Bombyx mori: one gene and its partner. The protein of the gene in region 2 interacts with the protein of the main gene of each other region in a pairwise test. Links are inferred from orthologs where the notes say so. Each region holds a gene or a part of one and is shown on either strand. Other genes may lie near its edges.

Region 1 (3,666 bases), on a different chromosome or scaffold from region 2:
CACAATTTATCGCTGGTTTGCTGAGTTTCAACGTGGACGTGTCAAGCTCAGTGATGATCCCCGTCAAGGTCGTCCAAAAACTACAGTCACCCAAGAAAACGTTGATGCTGTGCGTAAGCTGATTGAGGAAGATCGACATGTGACATACCGCGAAATTCAGGCAACTTTAGACATTGGCATGAGTCAAATACAAATAATCTTGCATGAACAATTACTTAGGTGTAAAAAAGTTGTTTTCCCGATGGATACCGCATTCGCTCTGTGAAGAGCAAAAAGCGGCTCGCGTTACTTGGTGCGTCAGAACTCTCGAAAGATTCCACGCAGGATCCTCAAATGCTGTATACAACATTGTATCAGGTGACGAATCCTGAATATACGCGTACGAACCCGAAACAAAAAACCAGTCACGAGTTTGGGTGTTCGAAAATGAGTTAAAGCCAACAAAAATTGTTCGTTCACGGAGTGTTGCAAAAAAATGGTGGCCACGTTTGTTTCCAAAACCAGCCATGTTACGACTGACTATTCCTCTTGAGGGACAAAGAACGGTTAATGCAGAATGGTATGCTAGCATTTGTTTGCCACAGGTCGTTTCTGAACTCCGTAAAGAGAACTGCAACCGCCGCATCATCCTCCATCACGACAATGCGAGTTCTCACACCGCGCACAGAACAAAAGAGTTTTTAGAGCAAGAAAACATAGAATTATTAGACCATCCGCCGTATAGCCCCGACCTAGGCCCTAAAGATTTCTATACTTTCCCTAAAATAAAGAATAAATTGCGTGGACACAGATTTTCATCACCTGAAGAAGCTGTGGACGCCTACAAAACGGCCATTTTGGAGACCCCAACTTCCGAATGGAATGGTTGCTTCAATGATTGGTTCCATCGTATGGAAAAATGTGTCAAATTTCGCGGAGAATACTTCGAAAAGCAATAAATACATTTTTAAATAGTAATGTTTTGTCACTTCAACTGTGTCACTGAAATTTTCAGTGCCGCCCTTGTAAGTACTGAATTTCGATGTGCCAATTATTTCGGTATAATTTCGATATTACCAAAGAACAAGATAAGAGACAACCACGAAAATGATAAGCGATGATCGAAATATTTTATATATATAAAACATATCACGAGCTATTGTATAAACCGATTTTTTTTTTGTCCGGACGTTATGAGGAGACCACAATCTATCTGTTAATTATCACTATTAATTACATTTTAGTATGTCTGTCGTTTTTGTTTCTCGCGTTCTGATTTAGAAATTTCATTATTTTCTTCTAATCACAGCGATTAGTAAACGAGCACTTGATTCACCTGATGGTGAGTGGTTACCTTCGCTCATGAAAAGCAGCAATGAAAAGGGCACAGTTAAGCTAGCGCTTACCGCTGAGAAACCTTGTTTGAAAGAAAACATGTTGTCAACCCCAGGAAATACCGTAGGAGCGGAGTTCAGTCAAAAGCTCGAAAGCACATAACCAAAAAATATGTCTGGTCACGCACTGTGTTCTAGGGTGTTTGGCGGCGTGTACCTTACTTACATACAAATACGTATATATGAATAGCAGTACTCGCCCGCTTCGCTGGGCATTTAAAATTAACATTATCATTTAATTTTATTGTCATTATTATTAGGGAGTCCAACACTCATATAAATATTAGCCTATCCATTAAGTAAATGTATTTTCTACATTGATACCAAGTTTCAAATCAATCGGATGCATGGTTCAGTAGTTATAACGGAACATCCGTAAAAACCACTGTAGATTTATATATTAGTATAGATATATCGTATAAAAAAATCTTACGTGAACATACCTGCATGACAGTGACCGCTCCGTATGTAATGGCAATCCAATATATGGAGCCAAGTAGCACTCCACCAGCAATAAATGGACATATCTTGTGGGTGATCTCTTCCATAGCATCGAGCATGGCTACGAAGGCACCCATGGACGGAAACACGACAATGTATTCCGCTTTACACTGAGGGCAGAGAACCTTGCGTGTGATGTTGCCCCGCTGCTTCTCATCGACCCATCTTTGGAGACATGACTGATGAACCTACAAAAAAAAATAACAAGTTAACAGATTTTGTGGACAAATGAAAACTTCCAATCATTGAAAAAAATGTAAAATTTTAATTACGTCATAGGCCAAACAAAAGAAAACCAATTTCTATCTCGTATTAACAAGTTCTAAAGAACTGGTCAATTATTAGATGATTTTTAACCATATTATGCTTATATACAGATTAGTGCTATCACCTGAAAAATGCTGTCATATTTTTTTTTATTGATTCTAATCTATCCTATAGACATCAGCAACGCAAATGCCGCCGTCCAACTTGAGACACGAATTCTTAGAAGTCCGATGCATTCGTGTTGAGCGATGCAACGGTATTCGAATCTCAGGCGGGTACCAATTTTTCTAATGAAATACGTACTCGACTAATGTTCACGATTGACTTCCACGGTGAAGGAACAACATCGTGTAATAAAAATAAAACCCGCAAAACTATAATTTGCGTAATTACTGGTGCTAGGACCTCTTGTGAGTCCGCGCGGGTCGGTACCACCACCCTGCCTATTTCTGCCGTGAAGCAGTAATGCGTTTCGGTTTGAAGGGTGGGGCAGCCGTTGTAACTATACTTGAGACGTTAGAACTTGTATCTCAAGGTGGGTGGCGCATTTACGTTGTGAATGTTTATGGGCTCCAGTTACCACTTAACACCAGGTGTGCTGTGAGCTCGTCCACTTATCTAAGCAATAAAAAAATAAAAATCTTCTAGCTGTCAGTTTTACAGTACAGCGCATTACTGCTTCACGGCGGTGGTACTTACTCGTGTGGTCTTATGAAACGTACCACCAGTAATGACACAAATTATAATTTTTACGGGAATCATTCAACATAGAAGTCATTCGTGAATTCATTAAGTACGTATTTTATTTGAAAAATTGGCAACCGCCTGCGGGATTCGAACACCGGTACAGTGGCATCGCTCGATACAATATGCACTGGAAGTCTTTCCTCTGAGGCCACAACTTAGACAATAATAAAACAATTCACTGTTAATAAAAAACAAGTCTTGTAAGATTATATCTAATTGTTATTTTATAAAATAGATGCTGTTTTAGCATTCTGTGGGCAAATGGCAAAAAACAGGGTTTTATTAATTTAGTTATATCGCCTGACTACCGTTTTGATGACCCCTTTACGAAAGACGAGTCTTTTTTCATGTGAACATAAACTACGCCTGTGATGATCAGAGTAGTGTATCTTTTTTTTTTTTTTTTTTTTTTATTGCCCTTGTAGGCAGACGAGCATACGGCCCACCTGATGGTGAGTGGTTACCGTCGCCCATGGACTTCAGCAATGCCAGGGGCAGAGCCAAGCCGCTGCCTACCGCTTAATACTCTCCACAAGCCTCGTTTGAAGAAGGACATGTCATAGCGCTCGGGAAACACCATGGAGGGGAGCTCATTCCATAGCCGGATGGTACGTGGCAAAAAAGACCTCTGGAAACGCACTGTGGATGACCGCAGTGGCTCCAGGTAGTATGGATGAACTCTACTCCGGTGGCGGGCGGTGCGATGGTAAAAACGAGATGCCGGTATCATCTCGAACAATTCCTCAGAGCACTCCCCATGGAACATACGGTACAAAAT
Region 2 (3,666 bases):
TTCGTTAGCTCTGGACAACAACGTTCCTCAGCCCGCTCCGAATTTCGTCCCGTGCAAATCAACGTTTATGAATTTTAAACGATCAGCTAATATCGCACATACAGTGCTATAACATCACTTATGCAAATTATGTAATTTTTCAGGAGAAGAATTTGAAAAATCAACATTTTATTACTGTTATATAAGTTCTTCTCTACTAAAGATTTTTTTTTTTATTGCGTAAGTTGGGGAAGAGCTTCAGGGGGAAGAGTATCAGTAAAAGCAAACGTCTCACTAATAACTATAAAAAAAATTGATTTTCTCAGGCAAGAATCGCATAAGTGACATTATAGCTCTGTATGTGCGATATGATCGCGTTTGTGACGGACATTTTGATCCTTGTTGAGGACAATAAGTCCGTCGTTCGACGCGCCCCGTCCCGGACTCGTTCGCGCACCGTACATCCTCATTATTATAACACTTATCACATACTGAGATTTAATCATCCATGTTCGATAGAATGAACCGCATGGCTTGCTACACCGAATCATCTGGAATAATTGAGAGAGCGGTCAATGATGGCTTCGCTGCGTCAGATCTCGGCGCTACTTGTCGAGGTGAGCGGTATCTAATATTCATTGTATTTTCATAGATACCGTTCGTATCGTCTTATCGAAGCGCAAAAAGTACAGAATAAATTCATTATATTAAATTTATGCAATTTTAATGACTCCTTAGTTTTTTTGATTTTACTTTTTGTCGAAACGCAATAAAAAAAAACAACATTTGAATTTAGTATTGTCATTCTCGTATTTTCGCGCCCATCTTTATTAAATATACTTTTGAATTTATAATTTAGTGGGTAATTGTGGTGGGTGAAAAAAGCGGAATAATTTTGATAGTATTACATAAAGTAGATATGGGGTTAAATGTCTCCGTTCGATTGCTACTTTTTTTTAATGTATAATATGAGTTATGCACGGGTTTTAAGCTCTTATTAATTTTATTTATATTCATGTTTTTTTTGTTCTACCCACGAAATATGTTTTAAAACCATTTCAAATTTTCACATCACGATCACTCATTAATATCGGTGTGGTGAAATTCGATGCTGGTATCTGGATATCTCTAATGTAAATGACTTCAAGTCTTAAGATAAAGACGGTTTGATGTTGCAATATATGATACGAATGGACAATGAAAAATAAAATCTTGCTTCACTCACCATGATACCACCATTTTGTTTTCTTAGGATTTTTATTACAGGTTTTAACGTAGAACGAATTATCAGGCGGTCGTCTCTGGAATGTTAAAATTGGATTTTATATATTTAATGACTAAAAATTACTTCTGTTATGAAGCGAATCGATGGGTTCCGGGTTCAAGAGTGGTACAGCTGTCACACAATATAAATCGCACCTTTAAAATTATAGAGACCCAACTCAAAATATGTATTTTTTGGAAAACATCGAATAAAGTTTTCAAACCGAAAAGACGTAGAGGAGGGGAACGTAGTGAAAGAGACCGATAGATAAGCGTGTCCCTTTATAAGCTACTTTTGGTAATTTGATTATTAACAGTCGCTGAAAAAGGTCGTTCTAGATCAATTTTTGAATTAAAGTCGATATCCAGAAATTTCGAAATAGGTCTCTATAATTCTAAAGTTCCAATGGTCTAAATCTAAATGTTGCTTCCACGCCGTGTCTCATAGTGGTTCTCCGCACTCAGGTTGTGATGTCTGTAACCACTTAACACCAATAAGATCAGCTGTCGTCGAGTGCAATAATTAGCGAAAGGATTTCTTTTAATTGCACAGACGGTTGAATGAACTCCAAGCTATCCCGGAGTTATGTGTTTACTGGAATTTCCTATTGAAATTACAAGGTGAATTGTAGTCTCAATTGTAGATATTAACGACTGTACCACTCTTTTCAAGACGACACAACGAAAACAAAATATTCATCATTTGCATAGCTTTTTATAACAGGGAAAGCTGAAAAGTGACGTATAATTATTAATGCACTTAGGTCCATAATATCAATCATGATTTATGCGAAATATTTGGCCATTTTGAAAAGAACCGTTTAAACCCAACGCACGGTTTAAGCTTTGAGATAATTTAAGCTACGGAGGTGAGTTTAACACTGATTTAAATTACGAGTTGATCTTCAGTGATCGTTTAAAACTTCGATATTAGTTTAAACTACGATTGATATTATGGGCCATAGTCGAGGACGTCATTATGCGAATGACAGTGGACTAATTTTAATAGTGTTCCGAATTATAAATGTTAAAGTTTTTGGAGAAGATGTCCCGATTATTTTCGCATCAAACGAGTGTTCGAGTTTAGAATTCGCATTGAACAGACGTAGTAGTGTTTATTCTTTTTTCTTAAGTTTTTTTTACTGGGCAAATGCATTAAAATAACTCGCTTCTTAAAGGACATGGGCCACTCTCCATACTTTGCACGGCCCACTAAACGAAGTTCAAGGACAGCGTAGTTTTTTTTTTGTTAAAGATCAATAATTGTTCATCAATGTAATTTTTAATGATTTATTCACGGATTTAAAAGTATAAAAATAGATTTTTGTTTAGATATAATATTTTATATTAATTTTAAAATCTATTAATTAAATATGTTAATATATTTTGCTAGTTTTTTGCATTATAATGTTTTTTTAAGAATATTTAATGTGAATTGTTTAAAATATAAATAATATATTTTACCCATGGCAACTCCTTCAATATTATCAATGTAGATTAGTCATGCTGATTTCTTTTTATTTATGATTTTAATTAACCCACCATTAAAATGCCCTTAAATTTTATAATAAGTATGTAAAAATGAAATGTTTTTTTCTATAGATATTTCACTAATGTCCTTGAGAGCACGAGTAGCTGGGTCGAAAATGGCCCATGTCCTATATACTACTTTCTTATTCAGAGTTATTTTACTGGATAAACATCTAGATGCATTAAAATAACTCGCTTCTTAAGTTTACACTATCTTCTTATTCAGAGATTGCGTCAAGGTCCGTTATTAAAATAGATCATAATACCTTTTCCTTACAGCTACTGAGCATCGACACGATCGAGAGGCAGACTGATTGCACCGACAGCGCCGGCGACCAGTCGTCGGTGAGGATCGAAAGGCAGATGTGCCCGTTCGAGTACACGTGCGGGTGAACGGGAATGTTGTTGCCTATGAACGTTACCTGTACATACGCAAAATTTCGTTTTCAATTATGCGACATCGATTATTTTTTCTACTAATTTGGAAGTTTTTTTTTAGAATATTTTTTTGGCAACACCAGCTGACCTGTCCCAATTTCAATTTAGTGATTTCTGTTGAATCTATTAAGAGCGTTCAAAAATCAAATTGAAAATTTTGTAAGCCTTTGGAAAAAATATTTATTTGCTTATACTTTCATTTTTTTATTCGGACTATAGCCTGCAGTTGTTGCATTTCTCTATAATTAACGGACGTAGTAGCTTATAAGGCCACGGACGCTTAAGATAAATATAAACACCGTTCCTTATTTAGCAAGAAACAATAGCCACGCCCCTGTTGTCATATATTTAATCGAAACGATGTGAAAATATTTTATTATCATTATGATTCATAATCTTGTTTTATCTTGAAATAGATTAAAAAAAAACGATTAACATATTAAATGAATCTCTAAT

Evidence for each region. The genes of interacting proteins can lie anywhere in the genome.
Region 1: the proteins of ubiquitin-conjugating enzyme E2 W (region 2) and E3 ubiquitin-protein ligase MARCHF5 interact in binary tests that used the Homo sapiens proteins (3 or more experiments, as listed by UniProt). The link is inferred for Bombyx mori from reciprocal best matches to the Homo sapiens genes UBE2W and MARCHF5.

What each region holds. Positions count from the first base shown.
Region 1 is NC_085132.1:5,326,162-5,329,827, forward strand, and holds part of E3 ubiquitin-protein ligase MARCHF5, read right to left. Parts: intron 2,063-3,666; coding exon 1,817-2,062; intron 1-1,816. UniProt on the Homo sapiens protein: Mitochondrial E3 ubiquitin-protein ligase that plays a crucial role in the control of mitochondrial morphology by acting as a positive regulator of mitochondrial fission and as an important regulator of immune response.
Region 2 is NC_085117.1:6,909,076-6,912,741, forward strand, and holds part of ubiquitin-conjugating enzyme E2 W, read right to left. Parts: intron 3,195-3,666; coding exon 3,039-3,194; intron 1,281-3,038; coding exon 1,205-1,280; intron 531-1,204; coding exon 517-530; 3' UTR 1-516. UniProt on the Homo sapiens protein: Accepts ubiquitin from the E1 complex and catalyzes its covalent attachment to other proteins.